Linked DNA regions of Notamacropus eugenii. The protein of the gene in region 1 purifies or fractionates together with the protein of each later gene. This does not show direct contact. Links are inferred from orthologs where the notes say so. Each region holds a gene or a part of one and is shown on either strand. Other genes may lie near its edges. The genes, in order: WAS and NCK1.

Region 1 (15,573 bases):
GGAGAGGGTGATTTTTGGTGGTGGGGTGAATAGGAGTCCTCTGAGGGGCTTCACTAGGTGATGTAGGTCCTTGCCAGGCCTCTTCCAGCTCCCCTCTTCCTTTGGCCTGACCTATGGAGACTTTTGAAGATGACACATGTGTGATTGTGTCAGTGGCAAGGACTTGACCCCTCAGGGGCTGAGAACAATCTCACTTCCTTTTAAGGGAAGGACCTCAGCCCCCCCACTGGGATCAAACTCATTTGGAGGAAGCAACCCCTTAAACCTGCTAGTTCCTCTCTTTCCTTTCCCTGACCCCAGTCTGGCCCAGAGCATTTCCCACCCCCACTCCCTTTCCTGGATTATATATTTTAAACAGGTGAAAAAAAGAAAGCTTCAGTGTGTCTGGTGATAGTAGTGAGATGTGTGTGTATGTGTGTGTGTGTGTGTGTGTGTGTGTGTGTAGGGGGGTGTTCCATTGGCTATTTCTAGAACCTGTTTCTTGTCAGAGACAAAATACAGGGTGAAGGCCAAGGAAAATCACACACACACACACACACATACACACACACGGAGACATACACACGTGTACAGAGGGAGACAGAGCTGGGGGTGAGAGGTGGGAAAAGGCAGAAAGAAAAATGTAAGGCAGGAGAGAAAAGTAAGGGGAAAAAAGAGGAGACAGACACAGATAGGGAGACAGAGAGAAGAGGGAAGACAGGGGAGGAACCAAGGGGTATTTGGATGAATGGTGCTGCAGATAGGGAAATTGAGACTGGGAAGTTTGGACCCTTGATCAGGGTGATCCAGATCAGGGTGTGTGTGTGTCATGGATGGGATTTGAACTCATGGCTTTCTCACTTTGAGACCAGTTCTTTATCTGCTACATACACTGGTTCTTTATCATTACTGTTGCTTTGTTTTGCTAAATAGAAAGACCTTACCTTCTGTAACCACAGCCCAGCAGGGAATAGAGAGTACACAGGAAGGAGGGTAAATGGACAACTTGCATTTCCTCAAATGTCTTGGCACCAACAAAAGTGGATGAGAAGGGAAGCCAGTAGCTAGGGGGGAAATGTCTGCCACAAGTTTCTCTAATCAAGATCTGGTTTTCAAGATCTACAAAGACCTGGATCCAGTCTAGAAGAATGAGAGCCATTTCATAATGGTTACAGGATATGGACAGGCACTGCTCAAAGGAGGAAACTCAAGTTTTTAACAGACATGAAAGAATGCTCCAAATCACTCATAATTAGAAAAATGTCAATTCAAATGAATACAAGTGGGTACCTCTTGCCCATGTGATTGGCAAAGATGACAAAGAAAGGAAAATGAAAAATGTTGGATGGGCTTTGGGAAAAGAGGCCTACTTGTACATTGTTGATGGAGGTATGTGCTAAGTAAATGCCTACTGTGCTAAGTAAGCGCTTCAAAATTATTTTCTCATGTGATCCTCACAACCACCCTCAGAGGTTGGTAGTAAGATGATCCCTATTTTACAGTTGAGGAAACTGAGGCAGACAGCAGTGAAGTGACTTGCTCAAGGTCACACATCCAGTAAGTGGGGCAGCTAGGTGGTGCAGTGGCTAGAGCACCAGTGCAGGAGTCAGGAGAACCTGGGTTCAAATCTCACCTGAGACACTTGACACTAGCTGTGCAACCTTGGGCAAGTCACTTAACCCCCATTGCCTCATCCTGGGTCATCTGCAGTCATCCTGATGAATATCTGGTCACTGGATTCAGATGGTTCTGGAGGAGAAGTGAGGCTGGTGACCTGCCCAGCCCTCCCTCACTCAAAACAAAGTCAAGTGCAAGTTACGTCATCATTTCTCTGATGCCATGGTCTTCTTCGGCAACGAAGGATGAGCACACATGAGTTGGTGCAGCTGTTCTGGAAAGTCAGTAAATTGTGTATACCTTTTGATTTAGCAAAAGCAATTTACCAGGCCAAAGCTCCAAAGGGATCAAAGAATGGAAAGGAAAATGAGCCAGATGGGCCAAAAACTTTAGAGCAGCATTTTTTTTATGGTAGCAAAAATATGACAAATGAAGGGGCTTCCCATCAATTGGGGAATGACTGAGAATGTCCTGGAATATTATTGTGCCACAGGAAATGGTGAAATGGGAAGTTTGTGAGAGGTCACTGAAGGCCAACACCAATTCTGTTTCTTTCCCTGATACCTTAAGGCCCATCGTGAGGGCTGTGCTTCAAGGGCTTCTGGAAAAGCTGGGAGCCACAGTTGGTATGATCATTCCCCAAAGCATGTGGGCACAAGGGTGTGTGGGAAAATGGCTCTGGAAAGTGTGTCCCGTGGTGGAGTGGCCATGGGCATCTATGTGGCCAGTGCCCCAGAAGGAAAGCTTGTCCACTTGGCTCTGAGGTTTCCGGGAGGGCTCGGGCCCTAACCAAGGACCTTGAGGCAAAGGGGCTCCAGGCTTGGGGCGGGAGAGAACAGCGCCCCCCAGAACTGCCACACTTGTGCCCTCCATCACAGGAGGGGCGTGGATGCCAAAGAGGAGGGAAACAGCTTGCTGCCCCAGAGAAAACGCGGGCTCCGGGCCGGGGGCGGGGCGCCCGAGGCCGGGGGCGGGGCCTGGGCTCCTGGCGGGAGGAGGCGGGAGAGGCTGAGGAGTCGGCCACTGAGCCCCGCCAGCGATCGGCCAGACGGTTCGGCCTCGGATCCCGAGGGAAACCAGGGTGAGCGAGCCCAGGGGGAGCGGGCGGGCGGGCGGGCGGGCGGGGGGCCGGGGCATCTTCCGCCTGCCCCAGCTCCTAGCTCCGCCCGATGCCCCTGGGCTCTGGCCAGCCTGGGCTGTTCCCCCCCATTTGTGGCCCTGTCCCCCCATGCCCCCCATCCACGGCCCTGGCCCCCCCAGCCATGGCCCCTCATCCGTGACCCCCATGCCCCCCCAGCCATGGCCCTGCCCCCCCATGCCCCCCCATCCGCGACCCCCATGCCCCTCCATCTCCCCCACCCTATCTGTGATGGCCCTGATCACCCCCTGCCCCCTCCCACCTCCTGCCTCCCACATGCTTACTCGAGGTCAGATACCAGTCTAGGCGCTGAGAACTTAGAAAGAAAAATGAAACTGGCCCCGCTCTGGAGAAGTTTGCGCTGTGTCTCAGTCTCTCTCAGGAGGTTGCATCAGTCCTTGTGTTTCCAGACACACTCCCTTACACATGGACAGAATCATGTGCCTACAGCTTGGGGATGGGGACAGCCTGCCTCTGAAAGGGGGGAGCAGAGGTACAGGGAGCTCCTTTCTGTCCTCCAGCCCTATCCCAACCCCTACCTAGGCCCAGCCTCTCTCTCTTCCAGGATGGAACTCATGATGGGGGAATCTAGGATAAATGGCTTGGTCTCCAGGGGGCCCCCAGAGCCTGAGCAGTAAGTAATGCACTGGGACTGGGGAGGCCCACTTGGCCCGACCCAGAAATCCTCAGCCAATCCCCTGTCCCCCCTCCAGATCCCAGGCTGAACTAGCCGGCTTCCTGGCCCGGCCCCCCCCAGGGAAGAAGGCAGTACAGTTCTCTGATGTGAGTGGCCAGCCAATCCCCTTTCTGCCAAGCTCACCTTCTCCCCATCCATCTCAGCTCCTCTGGGTCTCAGTTTCTCTTCCTGTCCCACACTGCAGTTTGAAGGGAAGACCTCTCTGGGCATGTCAATCTTCAACCTCAGCAATGCCATCATGGGGAGTGGAATCCTAGGGCTGGCCTACGCCATGGCCAACACAGGCATCCTGTTCTTTCTGTGAGTCCAGCCTTGAGTTCTGGGGGCAGGTTGGGTCTTTGGGCAATGCACAGAGGGTTTCCCCACTGAGCCCAGCCCCATTTGCTGCCTCCCCCAGAGCCCTCCTGTTGTGCATGGCCCTCCTCTCAGCCTACTCCATCCACCTCCTGCTCACATGTGCTGGCTTTGTTGGTGAGTTCCTTCTTCCCTCTCTCCGTCAAACAAACATGTCCCCTCTGTTCCTCTGCCTGCCCCTTGGACCATCCTGTCCTCCTCAGCTCCTGATCCCCACCAATCCAATCCCTTCTACAGGAATCCGGGCATACGAGGAGCTGGGGCGCAGGGCCTTTGGAACATCTGGAAAAGTAGCTGCAGCTGGAGTCATCTGCCTGCACAACATTGGGGGTGAGGCCATACAAACTGTTGACACGGAGATGGCAGGGAGAGGGATCTAGGCTTGTGGAGCTGATGTGGCCCAAGACTGAACCCTCCCTCCTTTCAGCCATGGCCAGTTACCTGTACATCATTAAGTCAGAGCTGCCCTTGGTCATTGGGACTTTCCTTGGCTCCCAGGTTACCGACTCCAGGTGAGCATTCCCCACACACACACACATGCACACACACATGTGCACATGCACACACACACATGCACACGCATGCACACACACACTCGGGACTTCCCATTACTGATCTCTCTAACCAACTCAGTTCTGTGCAGAGATGTCTTGTTCTCACCGCAGTCGGGTTTAGCTCAGCTTTCAGTTGCGAATGTCCAGAGTCACATGAAGCTTTCTGTCCAGTGGTGAGTGACCAACTCGCCTTGTTCCAGCTATCAAGCTGGGAGCTTCTCACCAGCTGCTCTTGCCAAGCCAGCTGTCCTGATTTCACTGTCAAGCTGTGACTGTCTTGGCCGTGTGTGAACAGCTATTTTGGCCTGACTGGCCAGCTGGCCCAATGAGGATGTCTGGCCACCTCCAAGTGACCGGCTTTCTTGCTCAGGAACACTCCTATGCACTCATTTTCATCTTGTCATCCACTCTTCTCTCAGACTGGGAGACTGGGGCAGCAGAGCACGGGGAGTAGGGTCTCTAGGAAGCCTAGCCACCAGCCCAGGCTGGATCAACGCTTCTTTTCTGCAATATCCCTACCAAGTGGGCCCCAACCAAAAGAAGAGGAGGCCCCCACCTCCCCAGGCAAGCTTTACCACTCTGGGCCACCTCCCAGGGCTATGGAGCCTTTTCCCAATGGACCTGACTGGTCGTGCTGGGCCACCTGTCTCAATTTGGCTGTTCTGCATCAGAACTCAGTGACCATCTGTTTCAGTCATTTGACTGGCTGTTTTGGCCTGCCTGCTCAGCTGGGAGGGTTTTGCCCAGGGGTGTCAGTGACGGAGAACGAATGTCTGTCTGACTCTGACTGACTAGGTGTGGGTTTCGGTTTGTTTTTGTGGGAGTGCTGCCTGAATCAGGACATCTGCCTGGGATCCTCAGGCTACCTCAGCCTCCCAGCCTGTCTCTTGCCCACCCCTGATATCCTTTGCAGGCCCTGGTTCCTGGACGGTAATGTTCTCATCATCCTCGTCAGCATTGGCATCATCCTGCCCCTGGCCCTCATGAGACACCTGGGTGAGTCAGAGAAGAGAAACTAAGCTCTCTGGGGGATGGAAAGGGATGGGAAGGAAGAGGGACTGGCTCTGAGGGCCCCAAATCTAACCCTCCCCCTGCACAGGGTACCTGGGCTACACCAGCGGCCTCTCCCTCACCTGCATGGCCTTCTTCCTTGCCTCTGTGAGTTTTGAGGGCCTCTGAGATTGGGGAGGGGGGACCTCGGGATAGGAAGCCCACCCCATCTATCTCTGCTCCCACCCCCTGCAGGTGATCTATAAGAAATTCTCTATCAAGTGCCCCTTGCCTGATGTCAACCGCACCATGGAGACTTTCAAGAGCCGCAATGCCACCTGTGAAGTTCAGCTTTTCACCATTAACTCCCAGGTCAGACTGCCTTCCCTGCTCACCCTCCCTCACCTAGCTACTCACCCAGCCTGCTGGGTGGCCCAGCGCTGGGCACCTGGAAGATCATCCCCACCCCCATTCTAGGGAGGACCAAACTGGGGTTGAAAAAGAGGCTGGGGAAAGTCCTTCTTGGCATCTGCCCAGTTCCAAGAAGACCAGACACCCCCAATAAGGGGACAGAACAGAGTTGGGGGAGCCCATTCAGGGAAAAGTCACAGGAGGGACATCATGCCTGCCCTACTGGTTCCAACCCAGATCTCCCCCCAGACAGCTTACACCATCCCCATTCTGGCCTTTGCTTTTGTGTGCCATCCGGAAGTCCTCCCGATTTACACTGAGCTGCGCAGGTACAGAGGGATGCCAGAGTTGCATGCTGGGGAAGTCAGGCCAAGGCTTGGGATGATGATGGGACCTGGACACTGGGGATTGAGGAGCCAGGGCAACAGAATGGATGGGGGGACCAGATGAAGCTTCAGAGGAATGCAGACACATGACCTTTCTCTGTCCCCAGGCCATCACAGCGCCGGATGCAGGCTGTGGCTAACATGTCCATCGGGGCAATGTTTCTTATGTATGGACTGACAGCAACTTTTGGTTACCTCTCCTTCTTTGGTGAGAGAAGGAGGGAGGCTGAGACCTGGACTCAGGGCCAAGGGAAGTGGGGAGGCTTGCAGGTGGTGGCTGGCTTCCTACCCTGGGTTGACGTCTGTGTGTGTGTGTGTGCATGTGCATGCACATACTCGTGCACATGTACACACATGTGTGTGTGTTTTTGCCCACCTTCCCAGGCCACGTGGAGGCAGAGATGCTACATATGTACAGTCAGACAGACTTGCTGATCCTTTGTGTGAGACTAGCTGTGCTCATGGCTGTCACCCTCACCGTCCCTGTTGTCCTCTTCCCGGTGGGTGTGTGTCTGGGCAGGGAGGGCAGAGAATAGGGTCAGGCTCCTGTGGCCCTCCTTGACTTCTGCGTTATCTTCCTGCCTCTAGATCCGCCGAGCTATCCAGCAGCTCCTGTTCCCAACCAAGGCCTTCAGCTGGGCCCGACATGGCACCATCGCCCTTGGGCTCCTCACCTTGGTCAACGTTCTTGTCATATTTGTGCCCAACATCCGGGACATCTTTGGAGTCATTGGTCAGTCTCCCCTCTTTCCCCCACCCCTCCCAACTGGTGCTCCCAGAGGGCTACCATGATTGCCTTTCCTTCCTCCCAGGAGCCACTTCAGCCCCCAGTCTCATCTTCATCCTTCCCAGCATTTTCTACATCCGAATCATCCCAAGGGACCATGAGCCCTTGGCTTCTCGCCCTAAGATCCAGGTGTGGGGGCAGAAGTACCTATCAAAGAGCAGGGATCAGGAAGGAGAGGCAGCGGGTGGGAGGCGGGAGGAGGATGAGAGCCGAGGCCCAGGGGAAGATGGGAAGAGCGTGAGATGGCGCTCAGTCCTTTAGCTCTCCTTCCTGCCCCCACAGGCAGCCACCTTCGCGTCTCTGGGCATGGTAATCATGGCCATGAGCTTGGGTTTCATCTTCACTGACTGGGCTGTGACAGGCCAGAGCAAGGGGGCAGGCCACTGACCCAGAAGCCCAGCTGGAACCTCCCCCACCTCGGGACCACCATGTGCTGGCAGACATGTGTGGGGAGATGCAAGAGACCCTGAGTGTTTGTGTGTTTGGGCGGTAGGGGGGACAGGATTGGGGGGAGGAGGCCTCCTGGGGCTGAGAACAATCAGCCTGCCTTCCAGAGGAAGGGCCAGGCTGGGCTGGGTTCCCTCTCCCTGCAGGGATCAAAGTCCCTGGGAGGAAGCAGCCCTGGAGGGGCAGACCCCAGGCCTGGTATCTGTGGACCCCTTCCTCTGATGGGGGGGGGGAATTGACCTGTTGGCTTCATGTTTGAGAAAATGCAAAGAATAAAGAGAATTTGAGGATCCTGGCTGTTGTGTGGTTGTGTCTCAGAGGACCGAGATGTATGGGAAAGGATCCGTGTGGCAAACTTCCTCATTCCCAGAATCCTCTGCCTGCAGGCCTTCCAGGTCACTTGGAACAGCCCTGGGTTGGAGGAAATGCCCCCAGTGGCTGCTCCTGGCTCTGCTTTTGGCTTCTGGGCCCTAAGTCATTTAGAATCCTCAAGAAGCCCAATTCTCATGTCCCCTGGCCCCTTGATTCTCTAGGATGGCGTAGACTCCAGGCTCTTGGCCAGTCAGGGTCCTTTCTGAAATATGGTTCTTATGGTTTTGGGTCTGAACCATCACAGCTACCATCCCTTTCCCCACATACCATATCCTGGATATCACAGCCCATACCATACACATGTGTGCATATATACACACATACACAACATCACAGATACCACACTGCATAACATACACGTATGCACACACATATACAACATCACAGACACCATGCCCCATACCATACGTGTGTGTGTGCACATGCGCATGCACACGCGCATGCATACACACACACACACACAGAGGATTTCTAGTAAGTGAGTTTCCAGCCCTGTCCCCCACATATTCCTTTGCTGGTTCTCTGTCCAACTGGGTCTCTCCCATCCGAGGTCCAGTGTCGTCACTCTAACCCAAGATCTTTCTAAAGCTTTGCTCAGAGTGTCAGCAGCTTTCCCTCTGCTTGGTGTCTTTTGCAAATTTGCTAAATACCTGGTGTGTGTGTCCACAAATATTCAACAGGACAGGACCAAGCATAGATCCCTGAGGCACTCCACTGCAGACCTTCCAAGTTGAAATTAGAACAAATAGTGACTCTTTTAGAGATCCTGCTAATTCCATATCTAACTGACTCAACTCCTGCACATCTCCCTGGCCTGGACACCCACCTGTCTATGGTCTGCCAGTCTGCCAGTAGACTGGTCAGGAGGGGAAGTGGGCTCAGTCCAACATGACCCGTTACTGATGTTGAGGAAGCCACACTAATTCTTCATAGTGACCACTGCTGCTTTTTCTTGAAGTTAACAACCCTCCCTTTATGAATGCATTCTTGAATTTGGCTGGGACCACTAGGTGGCACTGCAGTGGAGAGAGCCCTGGACCTGGAGTTAGGAAGAGTCATTTTCAGAGTTCAAATCCAGCCTCAGACACTTCCTAACTGTGTGAACCTGGGCAAAAACCTTAACCCTGTTTGCCTCAGTTTCCTCATCTGTAAAATGAGCGGGAGAAGGAAATGTCAAACCCCTCTGGGATCTTTGGCAAGAAAACCTCAGATGGGGTCACAAAGAGTCAGGCATGACTGAAACAACAACAATGAATTTGATCAGGAATCCAAGCTCACTGATCTATCTTGATCTAGCAAGTAGAAGGTTTTTGTTGTGATCGTCCTTCATTGTTGGAGAAGATCGAGCCATCAGAGAGATGATGGCATGACTTGCACTTGACTTTGTTTTGAGTGAGGGAGGGCTGTGTGAGGTCACCAGCTTCACTTCTCCTCCAGAGCCACCTGAATCCAGTGACCTGATATTTCTCAGGATGACTGGAGATGACCCAGGATGCACTGGGAGACCTTGGGCCCTTTAGGCCAAGGTCTTTGCAGGTACTCACTTAGGGTGAGACAACACCCATTCATTGAAAGTGGAAACAGACAAGAAACCTAGGTCTTTCTCCCATGGGACCTATTCCAAGAACATCGTGTTTTCCTTGTTAAGGCAGAGATGGGGAAAGAGCATGAGCACACAGACCAAGGAAGACACAAGGTGAGAGATAAGAGGGCTGCAGAGAGAAAGGGGAGACAAAGTGAGAACAAAATCAGGAGGGAGGACCAGGCCAGGCCAGGGGCCCCAGGAGCCCATGGGTTGGGCTTGGGGCAGTGTGGTTTTCTTGGCTTCCTGTTCACTGGGTGCGGAAGTTCCCCTTCTTACCCCGTCACTGGGGCTACTTGGGAAGACCAGGCGAGGAGGAAGGCAAGAAAGGGCTGCTGCCATGAGCCGAGGGAATCGGGGAGGGCCACCGCAACACCAACAGAATGTTCCCTCCGGTCTTCTGCAGGATCATGAGAACCAGAGGCTGTTTGGCCTCCTGGGCCGAAAGTGCTTGGTTGGTGTTTGTCAGCCCTGGATCCAGAGAATCACCACCGCCCCCCACTCCCTTCTATCTGCTCTGCTGGGAACCCTCCTTCAGGAAACGGGAGGGGGCGGGCGTGCTAAATCCCAACGTTCTCAGGTCCCTTTCAAGTCTCCACTGACCTGGTCTCTCTCTTTGTCTTGGGGGCTGCCTGGAGACAGACTCTGGCAACCTCAGTGGCCCAGCTGTACCTGGCACTACCCAGCACTGGCGGGCGCTGGCAGAAGGAACTGAGTGGAGCCATTTGCTTTGTGAAAGACAACCCTCGTCGTTCCTATTTCATCCGCTTCTATGGCCTCCAGGTACAGGCCAGAACAAGGTCTCTTTGTAACTGTCGGTCTCATGCTCTGTGTCACTCTCTCAGTTTCTTTTTACCCCCTCCCCAGGAAGGACGCCTCCTCTGGGAGCAGGAAATCTACACTCAGCTTGTCTACTCTGCCCCCACCCCATTCTTCCACACCTTCCCCGGTGATGTGAGTAACTGGCCAAAGGGGTGTGGGTGCTGGGATGATTCAGGGGTGAGGATCTAGGGGTCTGGTGTTTGATGGTAGGTGAGGCACTACCTTGAGAAGTGGAGCTAACCACTTTGGGGTGGGGGAATATGGGCATTGGGACCATTCCCAGGACTGCCAAGCTGGTCTGAACTTTGCCGACGAGGCTGAAGCCCAAGTCTTCCGAGCTTTGGTGGAGGAGAAGATCCAGAAACGAAGCCAGAAACAGAATGCTGGTGAGAGTCAGGGCCATGAGTAAAGGAGAGGAAGTCTCTCCAGTTCCTTCTCATGGCCTTCTCTCTCCACATGTCGCGCTCTTTTTTCCAGTCTCAATTTCTGTCTCTGTCTCCCATTCACTCTTATTCTCTGTCTCTCTGTCTCTCTGTCTCTCTCTCGTTCTCTCTCTCTCACACACACACGCACATGCACACACACATGCATGCACGCATGTCACCTTTCTCCTCCCTGTGCTCCAGATGATGTCCTCTTGGGGTGGGTGCTGAGCTGGGGGAAAGGCTGGACAAGGGAAAGGTCATGACCTGTGGTCTTCACCCCACAGGATCTCTCAGCACAGAAAGAAGAGGGGGCACTACGCCCCTCCCTCCCCAACCCAGTGGAGAACTCAGTGGTAAGCAAGGGGAAAGGGCCAGACAGGAACACACAGCTGTGGGTCTGGACCTTCCCACTTGAATCAATCTCCCCCAATTTGTCCTCCTCCATCTCTAGTCCCAGCTAGTACCCTGGGCTCCCCATCTTTGGGCCTGGTTGCTGTGGACATACAGAACCCAGACATTACATCCTCAAGGTACCGGGGGCTCCCCGCTCCAACTCCTCCCCCGGACAAGAAACGCTCAGGGAAAAAGAAGATCAGCAAGGCTGATATTGGGGCCCCCAGCGGGTTCAAGTGAGGCCTTCCCCCACCCCCCCAAACTCTCCAGGGAGGATTTAGCAGGTGCTATCCAAACCCTGCCCTCAGCAAGCATCTGCTGTAATCAGCATGGGCCCATTGGAGGAAGAGAGCCCGAAAGACTTTCCAGGGGGCGGTTCCAGGGGATGAGCTCTGGGGACAGCTCAGAGAGCAGAGTGTACAGGGAGGCTCCTGGGGAAGGGTTCAGGGCTCTGGGTTAGCCTCTCAAAGCCAGGGGCCTGGGGAATTAGGAGGCTGTCAGTGGCCTTGGAAGGAATTGCAAGGCTTGGATTTGAGCTCAGCTTTAGACACTCAGGCAGTTGGAGATGGAGTCTGGCATCAAGGTGATACTGGCAATCTTGGAAGGAGAAGAGAGTCCAGGCCAGGACTTCTGGGGCTGCCCCAGTTTTGGGGGAAATGGGTTCAGGTATCCTTCGATGGGCAGGCCATGTCATGGAAAAGGAGGAAGGAGGCGAAGAAAAAGCTTGACATGTCATTGATGACCTTGCGGGGAGCAGGTTGCAAGGGGAACGACAAAGAGAAGGGTCACATAGGACAATAGGGATCTGAGCTGGCCTCCAGGCCCCAGAGAAAGAGCTGGGGGAGAAGGAGGGGCTGCTCACCACAGTGGTGAGGCTTCCAAAAGGCTGAAATGGACATAGGGGTGGAACTGGGGCTGGGGTGATGGGAATCTGGGGAGCGGGAGATGCCTTCACTGAAGTTCTGTCCTGTGCCCTCTCCAGGCATGTCAGCCATGTTGGATGGGACCCTCACAGCGGATTTGATGTACGTCCCTTCTCTTAGATCCCCCTAAGCCCTCCCCCGGGATTTAGGATTGGGCCTTAGGGTGAGTAGGACCTGTGACCCTGCCTCCAACAGGTCAACAACTTGGACCCCGACCTACGGAGTCTCTTCTCCAGAGCTGGAATTAGTGAGGCCCAGCTGACTGATGCGGAGACCTCCAAACTCATTTATGACTTCATTGAGGACCAGGGTGGGCTAGAGGCTGTCAGAGAGGAGATGCGGCGACAAGGTGAGCACCTCTCCCCTGACCTTTTGAGAGTTTCAGCTGAGGGCTCTGGAAAAACCCCATCTAACCCTAATCCTAACCCTAAATGTACTCCGATTCTAACCCTTCATGAAAACTTCCAAATCTTGAGCCCAGAGGCTCCAGCCCTTCCCTGCTAGTTCTTCCTAGGGAGATCTGGAGGTGGGAAGGGGTACAGGGAGAAGGGTTAGAGGAGGAGGATGTATTTGTGTACCCTGCCTTCTAACCTTTTGCCCTATTCTTGCCCTTCTGGTGTCTGTAGGCCCTGTTCCACCCCCTCCACCCCCATCTCGTGCTGGGCCCCCTCAGCGGTCCCCTGGCTCTTCTGTGGTTGGAAGCCGGGGGGGTCGGTCAGGACCCCTCCCCCCTGTGCCCTCTGGGCCAGGTGGGATCCCTAGTGGACCTCCCCCAGTTCCACGGGGACCCCCACCTCCTCCTGGCCGGGGGGGTCCCCCACCTCCACCACCACCTGCCTCCCACTTGGGGCTTCCAGCACCCCCACAGCTGCTGCCACCAACCTCTGGAGCAGGGCCCCCACCACCTCCACCACCACCACCACCACCTCCACCATCTGCACCTTCATCTGGGGGGCCTGTAGGCCCTAGAGGTCGGGGAGCCCTGCTTGAAGAGATCAGACAAGGCATTCAGCTCAACAAGGTGGGGGCTTGGAGGGGGTGAGAATCGCTGGATTAGGGATCTTTGGATCAGGATTGGGAAGAGGCTATTGGGGGATCCTGGCGGTGGTACTGAGGCAAAGGGAAAGAACATGAAAGATGGACAGAAGGCCAAGATGGGAATGCAAAAGGCTGGGATGGGGGTGAATATGCTTCAGCCTGGTGTGCTGAATTTGAGATTTTCACTGGGTCTACCCTCTTTGCAGACACCAGGGGCCCAGGAGTTCCCAGCTCCCCCACCCCCAAGCTCTGAGGGGCTGGTGGGGGCCCTCATGCATGTCATGCAAAAGCGGAGCAAAGTTATCCACTCTTCAGGTGAGAGGTGAAATAATCCCCAGCCTTCCCCTCTTCCCAAGTGCTGGAGCATGGTGGTTGGTTGGGTGGGGGGGCTGTGTGTGATCATGGGACTCTGGCCCTCTTCACTCACTTATTCTGCACCCTTGTTCACTCACAGATGAAGGGGAGGACCAGGGGGGTGAGGAGGACGAGGAAGATGAATGGGAAGATTAAGGAATCACTGGCCTGGCCAAAAACTGCCCCCTGCTGCCCGCCCCCTGCTGCCTGTCCCCTGCTGCCTGTCCCAGAATGTGATAATAATGGAAGAGTTTAGAGAAATAAATTTCCCCCTAAATTCTGCTGCGCCTGTATGCCACAAATTTGGGTGTGTTGTCTCACTGTTTTCACTCTCTGACGAAATGAGCAATTGTTCCAGTGATGTGCTCTCTGACCTGTTCATTCTTTAGGATCCATCTTTCTGCTGCCCTTTAGTGATTGGAATTTTTGTTGCGTCATGATCTGAAAAGTTCTTAAGAATCACAAGGATCATCTTCCTGTGTTGGGACACCAACAGTTCAGCCTCTTTGAATTTCTGATGTTTTCTCTTTCCTTTTTACCTTCTCATTCTGCTTTTCAGTCTTTTTTTTTTTTTTTTTACTCAGCTCTGGTCTTTCACCAGGAAAGCTTGGAAGTCCTGTATTTCCTTGGGTTACCATTTTTTCCCCTGACAGATTATGCTCAGTTTCACTGGGTAGGTGTTTCTTGATTGTAATCTCAGCTCCTTTGCCTTCTGGAAGATCATATTCCATGCTCTCTGATCCTTTAACGTAGAAGCTGCTAAATCCTGTGTAATCTTGACTGGGCCTTCATGAGATTTATATTGTTCTTTTATTTCTCTCGCTGCTTGCAATATTTTTTCCTTGACCTGGAAATTCTAGAATTTGGCTTATCTGGGAGTTTTCGTTTTGGGATTTCTTTCAGGAGGTGACTGATGGATTGTCTCAATGTCTATTTAACCTTCTGGTTCCAGGATATCAGGGTACTTTTCTTTGATAATTTCTAAAAGTATGATGTACAGGCCTTTTTTTTTTCAATCATGGCTTTCAGGTAGTCCAATAATTCTTAAATGATCTCTCCTGGATCTCTTTTCCGGATCAGTTATTTTTCCAACGAGATATTTTACATTTTCTTCTATTTTCCCATTCTTTTGATTTTGTTTGATTGATTCTTGATGTCTCATGGAGTCATTAGCTTCTACTTGTCCCGTTCTAATTTTTAAGGAGTTATCTTCTTCAGTTAGCTGTTTAACCTCCTTTTCCATTTGGCTAATTCTACTTTTTAAGGAGTTGTTTTTTTCTTTAGGTAATTTTTATGCATCTTTTTCTATTTTGGGGGGCTTTCTTTAATCTGTTGACTCTTTTTTTCATGATTTTCTTGCATCACTTTCATTTCTTTTTCTAATTTTTCATCTACCTCTCTTATTTGATTTTCAAAACCCTTTTTCAGCTCTTCCAGGAGTTCTTTTTGGATCTGAGACCAATTCACATTTTTTGTTTGTTTGTTTGAGGCTTTGCATGTAGGTGTTTTGATATTATCCTCTTCTGAGTTTGTGTCTTGATCTTCCCTGTCATCACAATAACTTTCTATGGTCAGGTGTTTTTTTTCCATTCTTATCCTTTCCAGCCCATTTGACTACTTTTAAAGTTAAGCTCTGCTCTTGGGGTGGGATGCTGTCCCAAGTTTCTTATGGTGGGGGTTATAAGCCCAGGCTGCTTACCTGGTGTTTTGAAGGTGCCATAGGGAATCTGGTGCTGAGCTTAGTCCGTGGAGGTGGGGGGAGACTGGCTGCTCACCTGGTGCTGCCTCAGGGCTGCTGTGAGGGAGGTGGGTCTGGCCACTTGCCTGGTATTTTACTGGGATGGGGCAGGAGGTGGGGGCCTACATGTGGGGGAGGGGTTGGCTACTTGTTTGCTGCCATATTGGGGCCTTGGTCACTGACCTGCCCTGGGGCCTACCCTGAAGTCTGCTTCCCTTTTCCTGCCAACCTTCCAAGTTATCTTGGCCTAGAAAATTCTTTCACCCGATTGTTGTTTCTGCTGTTCTGGAATTCATTTCAAGACACTATTTGTAGTTGTTTGGAGATGAATTTGGGAGAATTCAGGCAATTTCCTTCTTACTCCATTATCTTGGCTCCTGGAAGTCCCTGTACTCTGTTAATAATAGACACTATGTAGCTACAGAAGCAAGTTTGCCAAACAAATTCAGTCATGGAGGTTGAACCGGTGGAGCTGGGTTACAGAGAGGACCTCAGTGTTCCAAGCAGGGAGAGGTTAGGGTTAGACTCGGATCACTGATATTCCAGAAACATCACTGTGAATTTCA
Region 2 (15,925 bases), on another chromosome or scaffold:
TTCTTTGTATCCCTAGAACTTAGTACACTGTTTGGCAGATAGCAAACACTTAATAAATGCTTGTTGACTGACATGAAGTTCAATACTAACTCTGCTACTTGTGTGACCTTAGGCAAGTCATTTAATTTTCTGAGCATCATCTTCCTCATTAGTCAAATGAAAGATTGGACTAAATGGACACAAAGGTCTTTTCCAGTTTTAAATCCTATTAGTCTATTTGAAATAAAAAATAAATAAAATAAAAGCAATTCCAAATTAGAAGTATCACTTAGACTCACAGCAGTTTGAATTTGAATGATTTGAATTTAGAATTTAGATTTGAATGATAGTAAGATCACAGTTGTAGAACTAGACGGGAACTCAGAAGCCTTTTCATCCAACATCAACATCTTAATTTTATAGATGAGAAACCTGAAGCTCAGGGTCACATAGGTAGTCAGCATTTGGGATGGAATTTGAAGGGACTAATGGCCTCTGACTCCTGAGTTAGCATCCTTGTCTTTCCACTGTATCACACTGCTTCCTAGGTCAGTTCTTCCCAGCTTTTTTATAATTCTTATAATTAACAACAATCCAATAAGACAATATATATGAATAATGAATAATAAAATATGTAATGAATAATGGGACACTCCAGATCACATATAAAACATTTCAATGGAATATACTACAGAAGCTTTCATTGTTTTTGATTGTTCTTCACAATGCTTCACACATAGTACAATTCTATTTAAAAAAATTATTTGTTTATTAAGTGTTGACTTAGCAGGCAGGTTTCCTCAGCAAATCTAAACATATTGTGTTTATCTAATTGTTTTGCAAGGACTTTTGGCACTTAGTCTGAAATCTTTTACTAATTGATTAATTAATTGGTTCTTAAATATTCTTACAAGGCATTGTGCTAGGCAATGGGAATACAAATTATAAAACAAAATGAAACAAAAAGAAGAAGACTTGGGCCTTAAGACTTTACATTCTAAAGGAGGGATACAACTTGTATATTTTCCAAATCCATATTCCACGTTGCTACCAATGTAATATTCCTAGAGCATGAGTCTGATCATGTCACCGTAATCCAGTGAACTAAGTAGAATCTACTAGGGGGAACTAGGCATACAAATATCATAATTAGTTATTCAACATTCACAGGTGTAAGATTTCTTTATGGATATCCTAAGTATAATCCTGGTATATTCAATGTTTTCATGAAGTAATGACAGAGTGACTGGACATTTGGAATATATAATATAGACATAAATGACCCAACAGCAAAAAGAAAAGGTTTGATATAATTTGCTATTTTTAAAACTTATTTTCCTTGCAGGGTGGGTGGGGGGGAGGACAGCTAAGGTAAGACTAGAATTTTGAATGAGAATAATTTCTAGTAAGGAAATGATTAGACAAGTAAGGTTTGAAGGTAGACCAGAATTATTAATGTAAAGAAAGAAAGATCTACAGTGCTAAAGGACACTATAGGAGACAACTAAGATAGGTGGAGGAAAATGGGTGGCTCATTCCATGGGGTTCATGGTTCTTAAAGGCAACTTTAGCTAGAGACTTTTACGCAATTCTACTACTGCCAGTTCATTTCTTCTATAAGAGCTATTTCTCTACCAATGAATTGATATGTAGGTGTCATATTGATTAAATTTGCAACTGAGCAAAAGTGTAAATCTATTTTTTTCTTTTTTTATTCAAGTGTAGACACATTTATCTGAAGACATGGATACTTCTCCTTCCAAAAAATATCCTGTAAAAAAACGTGTGAAAATACACCCCAACACAGTGATGGTACAATATACTTCTCATTACCCCCAACCAGGAGATAGTGGATATGAAGAAATAAATGAAGATTATGGAAGTTTTATGGAGGAAAATCCAAAGAAAGGACTTCTGAGTGAGGTGAAAAGAAAAGGAAGAACTTTCTTTGGGACCATGGATAGTCGAACCCCACCAACTGAAGACCCAAAGGTCAATGAGATTGAACAATTCCAGAGCTTTGCAGAAAGAAATATTTTTCAGTCTAGAAAGACTTGGATAGTGTTGTTTGGATCTGCTTTGGCTCATGGATGTGTGGCCCTTATCACTAGACTTGTTTCTGACCGTTCCAAAGTGCCATCTCTAGAACTGATTTTCATCCGATCTGTCTTACAAGTATTTTCTGTGTTGGTTGTGTGTTACTACCAAGAGTCTCCTTTTGGACCCAGAGGATATAGACTGCGACTCTTTTTCTATGGGGTATGCAATGTCATCTCTATCACCTGTGCTTATACATCTTTCTCAATAGTTCCTCCCAGCAATGGAACCACTATGTGGAGAGCAACAACCACTGTATTTAGTGCTATTTTAGCTTTTTTGCTGGTAGATGAACGAATGGCTTACATTGATATGGCTACAGTTGTCAGCAGTATCTTGGGTGTTTGCCTTGTCATGATCCCCAACATTGTTGATGAAGAAAACTCTTTGCTGAATGCCTGGAAAGAAGCATTTGGGTACACCATGACAGTAATGGCAGGACTGACCACTGCTCTTTCCATGATAGTATACAGGTCCATCAGGGAGAAGATCAGTATGTGGACTGCCTTATTTACCTTTGGTTGGACTGGGACAGTCTGGGGAGTATCCACTATGTTCATTCTTCAAGAACCCATCATCCCATTAGATGGAGAAACTTGGGGATATCTCATTGCCATATGCATCTGTTCTACTGCAGCTTTCCTGGGAGTTTATTATGCATTAGATAAATTCCATCCAGCTCTGGTTAGCACAGTACAACACCTTGAGATTGTGGTGGCAATGATCTTACAGCTTCTAGTGCTACATATTATCCCCAGTGTTTATGATGTCTTTGGAGGGGCAATCATCATGATTAGTGTTTTTGTCCTTGCTGGTTATAAACTTTATTGGAGAAAGTTAAAAAGGGAGGACTATCAAGAGATACTAGATTCTCCCATTAAATGAGACTCAATTTTCATTTTCTGAATCATGTTCAATTATGTGCACTGCCATGTTGTATTCATGTATCAATGTTTTTTGTGTTGTATAATGGACAGAGTTCTATATAATATATAGGTATAAAAAGAGGAAAAATATGCAAATGTAGAAAGATTTATATTAGTCTAACACATAAATGCAAATATTAAATATATGAAATACTGTGAACTTTGGTCTCTTAAAAATATCTATTTAATTATTTAAGGGATAACTGATAGAAAAATATGCTAGCCTTAGTTATCAATTTCTGCACTAATAAAAATTTTCCCTTTTAAGAAAATTTAAGTTATTGAAATTTATAAATTAAAGAAACTTAAATGGTATTATGACACTTTTCCTAGCTATAGTTATTTCAACATTAAACCTGAATCCCTTCACATGCACAGTGTACATTCTGGAAAACCTGTCTATAAAAAGAGATTCTAATTATAAAACCTGATCTGCATTATTACATTGGAAGTTGGCAGTAGCAAAGTGGGGAACTGAGGTAGTGTGGTTGGGGTCAAAAGGTAGGAGAAGGAAGGCTTTTTCACTGACTCAACTTTGGTTATAGTAAGTAAACATCACAGCAAAAACCTGGTCTTTCCTTTATCAGGGTTGCCATGAGTAGTGGAGGTGGAGCATACTTGAGTTTTTCCTCAGACTTTGTGGATCTGATGCACCATCCTATTGCTAATGCAGTGTTCTTTTCCATTTAGCTTCACTGGTTTACAAATCTCTCCTGGCTACTGCCCTCTTACCTTGCAACAGAAGGAGTGCTCCAAGCTACTGGCAGAGGTGCCCGCAGTGGAAATGGCAAAGGAGTAAATTAATGTGGCATGTTATCTAAAGATTTTCCTCAGGGGAACCAAAAAGTCTCAAAGGTGTATATTAATGTGTCATAATACATTTGTTCTCTACTCTTATTAATTCCTTTAAAACATGGTTGTCTATTGGATTTGCATGGGTAGGATAAATCAATAATAGTAGAAACCTTACAACTAAATTTCAGCCCATAGTTGACTTTTTGAAAATGAAATGAGAATGCAGAGGTGTACTTTATTCTACAATAATTAATGGGTTGTCTGACTTGCCATAATAATGCTTTATTTCAGATATTCAAATTCTGCTCATTTCAACTTTCAGTTGACAATTGAGTTCACAGAGGCAGAATGAGGTCATAGAAAACTCAATGAACTGGGAGTCAAGAGAGTTGGGTACTTATGCCAACTGGTTACTTCTTTGATATGTTACAATCTCTCTGGGACTCAGCTTCTGTATCTGTAAAATGAAGGGGTTAAGATAGATGATATCTGTGCCCCCCCTCTCCCCCTAATTTTGAAAACTCATTCCTTCCTTGGACCTTTAAATAAATAAAAATATAAAACAACAAACTCAACATTCTTCTGAATGAGGTATATTAAAGACACTTTTAACTAATACATGCTTATTGATTTTCTCACCCTTTGGAGTCTGAGCCAGTAGGGAAAGGAATGCAGAGGTCTTGCTTTAAGTATCATTCTTCTAATACTAAAATCTGAATGTGTAAAATATCTGAAGTTTACAAAAGGATTGTTCACTCTATAAAGGGAATCACTAGGCAGAAAGGTGATACAGTGCATAGAGTGTAGAGCCTAGAGTGGGGAAGATTCAGCTTCCTGAGTTGGAATTCAACCTTAGACATTTATTAGTTGTGTGATTCTGGGTAAGTCACTTAACTCTGTTTGCCTCAGTTCCTCATCTATAAAATGAGCTGGAAAAAGAAATGGCAAATCACTCTAGTATCATTGCTAAGAAAACCCCAAGTGGGGTTCACGAAGAGTTGGACTCAACTGAAATGACTGAGCAACACCAACAGAGGGATCCACCACAGATTTCTTCTGAATAGATGTCTTTACTACTCAAGTTAAATTGTATGTTCAAAAAATTTAATTTATGAACTTTTAAAGAGTCCATTTATTTAATCACTCAACAAATGCTGATCAAATAGATATCAATTTGACAATATTTATTTATTTATTGAGCCATGCTAGGTATTATGAAGTCTACAAGCAAGAATAAGAGAAGTGTGGCTCTGTGTTTAAGGGGTCAATAGTCTTCTTTGGGAAACAAAACATATTCATTAAAGCAATAACTTCATATGATGGAAGAAACTTGGGATGGAGTCAGACAAGCTGAGTTCTGGTCCTTGATTTAAGGTTAACTAGTTGGGACATTTGACCATTATAGGCTCTCTGAACTTTAGCTTCTTCATCTGTGAAGTGAAGAGATCATAATACATTATTTCATAGCTTACTATCCAGTTCTATAATTCTGTGATTATAAATTAGCTAGGATGACTATTAATATAATTCAGAAGTGGGACAATTTAGAGTCAGAAGAACTGAGTTCCAATTCTAGCTCTGCAACTTAGTGTTTGTGTGACCTCAAGAAAGTTATTTGACTCCTCTAGGTCTCAGTATTCTCAACCGTAAAAATGAGAGGACCTCTAAGGTCCTCCCTATCATCTCTAAATCTATGACCTTATGCTTCTATGATAAAGTATGAAAAAGACAGGAAAGAACTGAACTTAAGACCTAGAGATCCATGGATTCCAATTCCTTGTCACTTATGACGAGCTATGTAACTTTGGACAAATCACTTAAACTTTATGTGTCATAGCTTGATCTGTAGAACTGGGATAATATTAAGTATACTACCTACTTCATAGGATTATTGTAGGAAAAGTGCTCTGTAAATCTTATATAAACTTATATGAATGAGTTATTTTTTTTTTTGAGACATTAGGCAGGAAAAAATCACAGGACTTAAGTGCTTAGTTGGATATATGTGACAAGAGAGAGGTTCCAAGTCTTCATGAGAGAAAAAATGATGGTATTATTGATAAGAGTAGGGAAGATTTGGAATGGAATTTTTGGGGAAAAATGATAAATTCATTTTCAGTTCAATTCAACAAACATTTATTAAGCATATGCCTACCATGAGCAAAGCAGTCTTGAACTTGAGGTGATGGCGAGAAACTCATGTAGTTTAGAGGAGAGGTCAGGCCTAGAAACCTCTTTTGGGGAGCCATTTACATAGAAGTTATAACTGAAACAATGAGCATGGCTAAGTTCTATAATGCAGAGGAGAGCAGGGAGCCTATTCCAACCTTGCAGAAAGAAGAAAAATAGGATAGTAGGAGGAGAGTTTTGCTGACTGTTGAAGCTTAAACTGGGTTTGAGGCCTGATCAAAGGTCATTAGATATAACATTTAGGAGATCATTGATGACCTTTGAGAGATTAGTTAGAGCAGAATGTTGAGGGCAGAAGGTAATAATTACACCTGGATAGAACTTTCTTCAAGACAATTCTGTGAGGGTTAATAATTGAATTATTATCCCTACTATATGGATGGGGAAACTGAGGCTCTGAGAGGTTGAATTCACAATCATGTAACATGTTAGAACTAGACTTTGAAAGTGTGTTGCCTAAATTTAAGTCCAGTATTCTTTTCATTACCTTGATGGGTTTTGGAATGAATAGATGACGGAAGAAATAGAAACAGCAGACAACTTTTGGAGAAATATGACAGTCAAAAGAAGAGGAGGAAAAGGACACTAGGTAGGAGGGGCATCTTTTTTTTTAAAATGGCTATAGATATGTATATATATATATATATATATATATATATATATATATATATACCTGTTGTATTATACCACATAAAATAAATATTATAGTGTTTTCAAATGTTAAAAATTTACAACTGAAATTAATTGGTACAAAATCCATTAAAATGTAATATTACAAAACATAGGATTTAAATTTATTATTGCTAGGCTACTCTCTACTTCATCATAGGGTTTTAAGAACATCAGGTAAGGGAGGGCCTTAGTTCCACAAAATTCACCCATCCTCATTGTTTTCCTAGAACACTTAGTTCCTTCAGTTACTTCCGCTTACCCACATCTCTCTTTTTAATATATCTTTGTTTTTATATCTCCTAAATTTCTTCTAGCATCCTTCCCTAGCCTCTCCTAGAGAGCCATCCCATACAACAAAAGATATAAAAGAAGCAATTAGCAAAACTGAATAATACATTGAAAAGGTCTGAAAATATATGCTAGGTTCTACACCTGTGGACTTTCTATTTCATCAAAGGAATTGAAGGAAATGTTTTATGTCTCTTTCTTTGGGACCATGCTTGTTCTTTGTAATTTCACAACACTCATTTTCAGTTATTTTGTGGTGGTTTTTCTTTTCATCTACATTGTTGTAGTTACTGTGTATATTGTTTTCTTGGCTATGCTTACTTTACTCTGTATAACAGCTTTCCTTGCTTCTTTGTAGTCATCATATTCCTATTTCTTATGAAATAGTAAGATTCCATTATACTTATCTTCTATGATTTGTTAGTCATTTCGCATTCGATGACTTTGCTTCCAGTTCTTTGTAAACAGTGATGCAATAAATATTTTGGTGTATATTGAGACTCCTTTATTTAGTCCTAATTGGCTACTAGCAACTGTCATCAGTGGCCCCACCTCTGAATAAAAAGGTCAAATGTACTATGTAATTCAAGGCAGGGAGAAATCAGGAGGAATCGTTTTGTACCTTCCTAACTCCTGCCGCTTATGGATAGCAATGGACCTCATCCCATCTATCCTATAGCCTTTTGGCCATTCTCAACACATTGATCTCATTCATTCCTCAAATCCAAATACACTGCCAATCTTGTTGCTTCTACACTTACAGTACATGTTATCTTCTTTCTTCTCACAGAATTTTCATCCTGATGTAGGATCATATCACTTTACACCTGGGTTACAATAGCTTTCTGGTTGGTCTCCTTGTCTCAAGTACCTCCCCATTTTAGTTTCACTCATCTGCTAGGGTAATTTTTCTAAAGTGTAGTTCTGACTTCCTTAAAGACTGAGCTCAAATTTTACCTTGTGAGGGACTTTCCTGACCTTCTCCCCCAACTCCCCAGCCACTGATGTTTTCCCTTTTCAGCTCATCTTCATCTCTTTCTATATCTTTCATGTACCTAGTTATTTACATGTTGTCTTTCTCATTAGAATATATACTCATTGAGGGCATTTTTTTTTCTTTCTATATATCCCCAGGACTTAGCACAGTACCTGGCATAGTAAATGCTTAATAAATGCTTTTGGACTGTCTACGTGATTTTGGTCAAATAACTTACCCTCCCTGGTCCTCAGTTTTCTGATCTGTAAAATGGGGATATTAGACTCGCTGGCCCTCTGAGGCACCTTCTGAGGTCTAGATTTATGATCCATTGCCTACAACTCTACAAAGCTTCTCTTTAGCTGGGATTCCAACCACTCTGACTCTCTAGACAGCCCTTACTTCCTAACCCAAATGGCACTATTCTTGACTAGGGAAGAAGATTCTGATATATTGTGAATACAGAACACGCTTAAGAAGAATATGAGAAGGGAAAAGTACCAACAAAAGATAATTAAGCTTCATCGGTGAGGAAGGGAATACTCTAGAGAGGTCTTTACCCCAGAATAGTTGTAATACTTTCAAGTATTACACATTTCCAGTGAAGGTATTCATTACATAACTCCTTATCTCCTTTTTTTGCTTTCCCCTTTGCTTTGCCATCTCTCCCCTCCCTCCCCCTTTTTCTTTGCCCTTCTGGTCTCATTCCAGTGTGGGTGCCGAAAAAGAGATGGGGGCAAAATAAAGAAAATCAAGAAAGAACAAGCTTAGAGATAAATTGAAACCAGACTTTAGCAGGATTAATCTCTTTCCTAGTTGCTTCTGTGAGGGCTGATGTGGGGTGGAGGAACTACAAGATTCCAAGGGATGTAGGTTTAAATCTTGGCAATTATCAGACAGAGAGGAAGTCAGATGACTGTCAGCCCTTCGCACAGTGCCTAGCACACACAGTTGACCTCTAGTAAATGCTCATCAACTTGACTCAGGATCAGATACCTGGGTGCCTTATTTAACCTCCTAGGTTTTAGTTTCTTCACTTAGAAAATGAAAAGGGCTGGCGAAGATGATTTCTAAGGCCCTTCTGGCTAAATCCCTTCAACATGTGCCTTTAGTGCGGTACTGTCTCCCAGGCAGTGGTATCCACTGAATTTGAAGAAGTGGATGCGAGCCAGGACTGTGGGAGACGATGTGGAAACCCCCCCAACAGGTGCCAGGTGAGACACCGAGAGGAGACAATGCCCAAGTCACCGACGGCTTTTTAACTTGTCAGGTGAGTGTCATGGCTTTGTCTTCCCCCCCCGACTCTTTTTTTCTTTTGTAAGCCAGAAAGGAAGTGGCTGTTTAGATCGGAGGTAATGAGAAGTAAAGCTCCCCGGACCGCAGCCTCATGGTTTGGGTTCGCGTCTTTGTGGCTGGTCTGGCCCACGAGATCGGGGGGAGGAGGGTGCCCGCCTGCTCCGGCCCAATTGAAGATGGGTTCCCATTTCCATCCCCGCGATCTATACTTTCCACCAAACAACTGGACCTTCCGGACCCTCCCAGGTCCCAGAACCAGGGTGCTGCAGCCTCTGGGCCTCGCGGACGGCGCTGCGGCGGCCGCCCAGCCCGGACACGAGCCGGAAGGGAAGTTGCCATAGAAGCCGCCAAGGTCAGCGGTGCCACTACCGGGGAGGAGGCGGCTAGGTGCCCAAAGGAACGGGCAGACCCAACGAGGGCACCACGAAGAAGCGGCTTGCTGCCCTGGCTCGGTTTGCGCTCTTAAGGTCACCCCGACAACCGCGAGGCAAGGTACAAGGCAAGCGAGTGACATCTGGCCCTCCAAGCCCCAGCCACCAGCCACCCGGTGGGTTCCCTCCCAGCGCGCGCGTGCCCGGCGACTTTGATTGACGGACAGCTACGCCCAATCCCCTCCCGCTCTCGGAGCGCTCCTCGAGTCAGCGTCTTTGAGCCAATCACCGGCGGCCAGGAGGGAGTTTCCTGGGGGGCGGGGTACCGAGCTAGGGAGAAGTAGGAGGAGCCGACCCAACGGATCGGAGCGAGGCTGCCGCAGGCGGGGGCCGGTGGGCACCGTGCGCGCGCCCGTGCGCGCTCTTCTTCCCTCCCTCCTTCCCTCCCTCTCTCCGAGGTGCCCCTCCCCCTCCCTCTCGGGCCCGAGCTACGCGGCGGCGCCGAGGCCTCCTGCCCGGTAACGGCCGTTCCCCCTTCCCCCATCCCCGCCGCGGCGGTGGCAGCGGCTTCCTCGTCGTTCCCTCCTGCTCCTCGGCTGAGCGGCGACCGCGGCGGCCCTGCGGGGTAAGTGCGGGGCCGGCTCGCGGGCAGGTAGCCCGGCTGCCCTGAGGTTGGCCCCGGGTGGGGGGAGGGCAGGGCTGGGGGCCCAGCCAGTCTCCCGGCCGGACGGCGGACGGCCGTTCCCCGCCCCCTCCCGTCCTCGCCTCATCCTCCCTCCCCCTCCCCCCGCCCTCTGTGGTCTCCTTGCGGGCCCTCCCTCCCCGCACGCTCCTCCTGGCCAGCCTCCCCCGCCCCGTCCGACTGTTCATCCATTCGTCTGTCCCTCCCTCCCTCAGGATCGGTCGCTCTCAGTCCAGGCGGCCGGTGGTGCCCAGCCGCCGCCCGTCTGGGAGCATCGGGGGCTGGAGGCAAGTCAGTCAGTCAGTCAGTCAGTCAGTCAGCAAGCAGTTACTTAGGGCTGGGTTCTGCGGTAAGAGCCTGAGATGCAAAGAGTGAAAAAACAAAACGTAGCACCCCCCGACCCCCCAAAAAGCAGAGAGCCCCCGCTTCTTTTCCTACAGCGAAGACAATGTCTAGGTGAGGGGTCCTTCCCCTTTTTGTAAGCCCCTTTGGGATCAGCATGCTGGGACCTCATCTCGGAACAATCCTTTTAAATGCATGAAAAACACAGGATTTGCAGAGGAGACCGGAGTTATATTAAATACAGTTAGAAACACATTCTTGAGACAGCTAGAGTCACAGACCCCAGATTAACACTTTTCATCTTGGCACGTAAGTGAAACACGAGGCTCTGAAGGCAGCTGTTGAGGATTTAAGAAAGGAGGTGTGATGAGGGAAGATTTTGATAAGTTCTGTTGTACGTCTGTTTAAAAGTCAGAAGTATAGCTTAGTACCCTGAGAAAGAAGGGAAAAGGTGAGGGTAGGGATGATAGGGGAGCTCCCATAAGTTTGTTACGGTAGAAGGGAGTTGGGCACCTCATGGAGACTTGTGAACCTTCAGAACGGGCTTTTCCTTCTCCCCGAGTCTTTTTTGTTGTTTGTTCACTTGTGTTGGGGGATCCCGAGCCATCACTTCCATCACTAGTGGAAGGCGTATGTCTTTGAAATGGTGCCACAAAGCTTCATTGGTGGAGGCATGTGCTTTAATTGGTAGCGTAGACTGGGAATGTCATTTGATAGGTGCTCTTGGTGCACCTATTGCGATTTGTGTGTGTCTTTACATAAAAGTTAAGCTTAGCAACAAGAACTGGGTTGTAGACTAAAGTTCAGAGGAACTGGGAAAAATGATTTAGTTCTTAGGTAGACTAAGAACTCTACCAAAGCAGTCCTGAAAGAAACAGTAGCATTTTCAAAAGAATAATTTAAAAGTGATGGGGTTTTGTACTTTTAGCCCTACCTTGATATTAGGTAACTCTAGATGATAGGTGCCTAAAGTCGAAAACAGCATGTTGCAGTGGAAACAGTGCACTGGATTGAAAACAAGAGGAGCTGGATTCGATTCAGAAGCTACCACTTACTATCTGCTTATCTTATGGGAATTTATTTTGATTTTTTAGACTTCATTGTCCAAAAAACTACAGCCCTTTCCAGCTCTCCATTTATGATTTATGATCCTAAAACTAGAAGGCCTTGCAGAAGATAGGAATAGAAACATATATGAAAAAAATCTCAAGTAGTTTTATTTAATTTATTAATTTTCTGTTGAATTTAGTGTCAAACAACAAACATTTATAAAGTACCTATTTTGTGCCAGGCTCTGTGCTAAACCCTGTTAATTAATAGTTTATTTTTGAATCATTTTTAAGCACCTAGATCTTTACAAACTGTAAACCTCTGTTTATTATTACTTCTAAAGAATACATTATGGAACTGTGGTGACTTCCTCTTCCTCTTCTTCCTCCTTTTCCTCCTCCTCCTCCTTTTCCTCCTCCTCCAGTGTTTTTCATGTGATTTCCCAAAGTGTCTATCTTTAACAAGACTGCAGTTCAAAGGTATGGCAATTCACAAAGAAAATTTTTGTATTTACATATAAGCACTATTAAATATCTCAACAACTCTTAGTGTATAGTAACTATTCAATATGAGATCAGTTTATTGATAGGAAACTGTTGCAGTTCATCTTGTTCCATGATGTTCAGTTGTTTTAAGTCTTGTCCAACTCTTTGTGACCTCATTTGGGGTTTTCTTGGCAAAGATACTGAAGTAGTTTGCCATTTTCTTCTCCACTTCATCTTATAGATGAGGAAACTGAGGCGAACAGAGTTTATTGACTTGCCTAGGGTCACACAGCTAGCAAGTGTCTGAGGCCGAATTTGAACTCAGGTCTTCCTGACTGTAGGCCCTCTGCTCCATCCACTGTGTCACCTAACAGCCCCTAGTTCATCTTGGCCACAGATTATTCCGTAGTTGTTTCATGCCCATCTCTGAAAAGTCTACCAGCTCTATTGATGGTTTATCAGTGTTACAATACACTTTCTTGGATCTGTGGGACTTAGAAAAGGTCTTCTATTTCATTTTTCTGCCCATTCTGGATTAAAAAGAAATCACTTCTGAAGGAAGGTAATCTGCTCTAGTTTGTGAAAGCTCACAGTTTGCCTCTGGTTTCTTTGTAATGCTACTTAGGTCTTCCAAGGATGAAATAGTTTTGTTTTTTTTTGTTGTTCTAAGTTAAATTTCTCGGGTTTCTGGGTTGGCCCACTTTTTTTTTCAGCCCTGAGGGGAGATGGAGACCTTGGTGGGATTGGGGAAGAGAAGAAGGAATTAGCATCTACCATGTGTCAGGCACCATGCTAATAACTTTATAAATAGTATCTTATTTGGGCCACCATGACCTGTGTTTGGAACAGAAAAATTTTTCTTTAAAAAAAAAACTGTTGGATGCTTTGTTTTTGTATCACTTTATTTCCCTGCCTCTCTTCCAGAGTAAAAAAGAAAGGAAAAAAAATGAAAACTTATCAAGAAATATTTCATTCAACCTGACATTGTATGTAGTTGTCCATACCCCATAAACCCCTAGTCTTCAAAGAAATGAAAGATTCCCAAATCTCTTCTCTGGGTCAGACTTTTTCATTACAATTACGGGCATTCAGTTTCAATTTGTTGTCCTTCCATTTAGACTCTTATAGTTTTCTGTATGCTGTTGTCACTATTTTGTGTATTGTTTTTCTGGTTCTCTTCATTTTGCATCAATTTGTAAATTTCTTCCTATGTTTTCCTGTATTCCTTATATGTCTCTTTCCTTGAGCACAGTAATATTCCATACATTTATATACTGTCTGTTTAGTCATTCTCCCACTGGTGGACATCTACTTTCTTTTCAGTTCTTTGATACCGCAAAAAATAATGGTGAACATATTTTGATGTGTTAGAAATTTACTTGGTGTATAGTGGAATATCTTGCTCAAAAGATAAGAATAATTTATTCCAAGTTGCTTTTTAGAATAACTGGACCAGTTCACAGCTCTGTCAGAAGCATATAGTGTGCCTTTCTTTTCACAACCTTGTATGAGAATTTGGTAATTCAACCAACATTTGTTAAGCATCTGCTATTTTCAAAACCCTGAGCTAAGGCTGAGATACTGTGATTGAATTGGCTATTTTTGAAGGAAAAAGCTAATAAGCATTTATGAAATGTCTACCACTTGACAGAACTGGAGTAGTCCCAGGGAATGCAAATATGAAGATGAGATGGTCCTTGCACACAAAATTACTTTCCAGTTGAAGAGTTCCCACCTGTAGGGAAGAGACCATCTGAAAAAGGTTTGGAGATTTTAGAGTACTGAAAAACCAATATAGCTCAAGTATGTTATAGCTGCCAAAAAAATGTAATTCAGTCTTAGATTGCATTGAGAGACATGCTATTTATAAAGAAACTTATAGTTTCCATGTATTTTGCCCCAGTCAGACCCCAACTGGATATGTTCAGTTCTGATCATCACATTTTAGGAAGAATATTGATAAACTGAACAGTATGTAGAATACAGCAACTAGTGTAGTGTCAGTGAGAAGATAGTTTGAAGGAACTAGGTATTCTTAGCATGGAGAAAGACTTTCGTAGAGAAGAGGAATTTGGCTTGTTTTGCTTGTCCAGTGTTGCTCCAGTGTTGCAGGAGTGATGGAGGGGCAAGGGTTGCACAGAAGTAGATTTCTACTGGATGTAATAGAAAATTTTCCCATTAGAATTATAGAAGTAGGATGGTTTGCCTCAGGAGGTATGATACTGCGTTTCCCTTCGCTAGAGATCTTAAAAGCAAATGCTCGATGAACACTTGTTGTAGAGGGGATAATTTTTTTTCTTAGATACTTTCATTGATATATTTTTTAATGTCACTATATTTCCCAATATATCCCTGATCATACTTCCTTCCAGACAGCCACCCTTATTGCAAAGAATAAAGGAGAGGAAAGCAGTTCAACAATTCAACCTAAAGTGTGACATATAGAAGTGCTCCATACCCATATTCCTTCTCCTCTGGAAAGTAAAGAGGAAGTTGTCACCACCTCATGTCTCTTCTTTGGGGTCCAGCTTGGTCATTATAATTCTGTAGTATTCATAGGATCATAGATGTAGAGCTAAGGGACCTTAGGGAACAATCTTCTTGTTTTACAGGTGACGAAACCGAGACCCAGAGAGGTTAAATGACTTGTCCATGGTCACATAGGTAGTGAATTGAAAAGCCAGGTTTCAAACATGAATCTTTTTTTCTTAAATTAAAAAAAATTTTCCCCATTTAATAGTCTTTTATTTTTTTTCGATTACATGGAAAGATAGTTTTGAACATTAACTTTTATAAGATTTCGAATTCCAAATTTTTTTCTCCTTCCTTCCTTACCTCCTCCCAGACAGCATGCAATCTGATATAGGCTATACATGTATGATCCTATTAGACATATTTCCACGTTAGTCATGAGTCTTTTGGAATTGTCTTAGATCATTGTGTTGCAGAAAAGAGCTAACTCCAGCAAAGTTGGTCATTGCACAGTGTTGCTGTTACTGTACAGTGTTGTCTTGGTTCTGCTCACTTCACTCAGTTCATTTAAGTCTTTCTAGGTTTTTCTGAAATCTGCCTGTTCATCATTTCTTATAGAACAGTAGTATTCCATTATATTCATGTACCACAACTTGTTCAGCCGTTTTGCCAATTGATAGGCATCCTCTCAATTTCCAGTTCTTTACCATAACAAAAAAGAGCTGCTATACATATTTTTGTACATGTGGATCCTTTTCCCTTTTTTACGATCTCTTTGGCTATATAGGCCAAGTAGTGATATTGCTGTATCTTGTATATGCACAGTTTTATAGCCCTTTGGGTATATAGTTCCAGAGTGCTCTCCAGAATGATTGAATCAGTTCACAGTTCCACCAACAATGCATTAGCATTCCAATTTTCCCAATCTTTTTCAACATTTATCATTTTCATTTTTTCTCATATTAGCCAGTCTGATAGGTGTGAGGTGGTACCCCAGAGTTGTTTTAATTTGCATTTCTATAATCAGTAGTGATTTAGATCAGTTTTATATGACTATAGGTAGCTTTAATTTCTTCATCAGAAAATTGCCTGTTTATATCCTTTGACCATTTATCAATTGGGGAATGACTCAAGCACAAGTCTTTTGATTCTAAATCCAGTAGTCTTTCTATTACACCATGATAGTTCCAGTGTTTTTTGTTCTAATTGCATTGTTGTAGCTGTATATGTTATTTTCCTGGTTCTGATTACTTAATTTTGCATCAGTTTATATTACTATAGTCTAATTGTACTTCTCTGTATTC

The links.
Region 2: the proteins of WAS (region 1) and NCK1 purify together in Homo sapiens (affinity purification with western blotting; 4 studies listed by BioGRID and IntAct, with this or other methods). This does not show direct contact. The link is inferred for Notamacropus eugenii from reciprocal best matches to the Homo sapiens genes WAS and NCK1.

What each region holds. Positions count from the first base shown.
Region 1 is NC_092879.1:102,032,421-102,047,993, reverse strand, and holds WAS (actin nucleation-promoting factor WAS), read left to right. Parts: upstream 1-9,593; 5' UTR 9,594-9,654; coding exon 9,655-9,768; intron 9,769-9,956; coding exon 9,957-10,097; intron 10,098-10,181; coding exon 10,182-10,268; intron 10,269-10,419; coding exon 10,420-10,522; intron 10,523-10,845; coding exon 10,846-10,914; intron 10,915-11,012; coding exon 11,013-11,190; intron 11,191-11,936; coding exon 11,937-11,979; intron 11,980-12,072; coding exon 12,073-12,226; intron 12,227-12,503; coding exon 12,504-12,898; intron 12,899-13,121; coding exon 13,122-13,230; intron 13,231-13,369; coding exon 13,370-13,425; 3' UTR 13,426-13,550; downstream 13,551-15,573. Other genes in the region: SLC38A5 (sodium-coupled neutral amino acid transporter 5), read left to right, coding at 3,301-3,368, 3,448-3,517, 3,616-3,731, 3,829-3,902, 4,023-4,115, 4,213-4,297, 5,253-5,335, 5,439-5,497 and 7 more. UniProt on the Homo sapiens protein: Effector protein for Rho-type GTPases that regulates actin filament reorganization via its interaction with the Arp2/3 complex. Important for efficient actin polymerization. Possible regulator of lymphocyte and platelet function.
Region 2 is NC_092876.1:330,760,316-330,776,240, reverse strand, and holds the start of NCK1 (SH2/SH3 adapter protein NCK1), read left to right. Parts: upstream 1-8,895; 5' UTR 8,896-9,193; intron 9,194-9,924; exon of another isoform or gene 9,925-10,215; intron 10,216-15,925. Other genes in the region: SLC35G2 (solute carrier family 35 member G2), read left to right, coding at 1,723-2,961. UniProt on the Homo sapiens protein: Adapter protein which associates with tyrosine-phosphorylated growth factor receptors, such as KDR and PDGFRB, or their cellular substrates. Maintains low levels of EIF2S1 phosphorylation by promoting its dephosphorylation by PP1.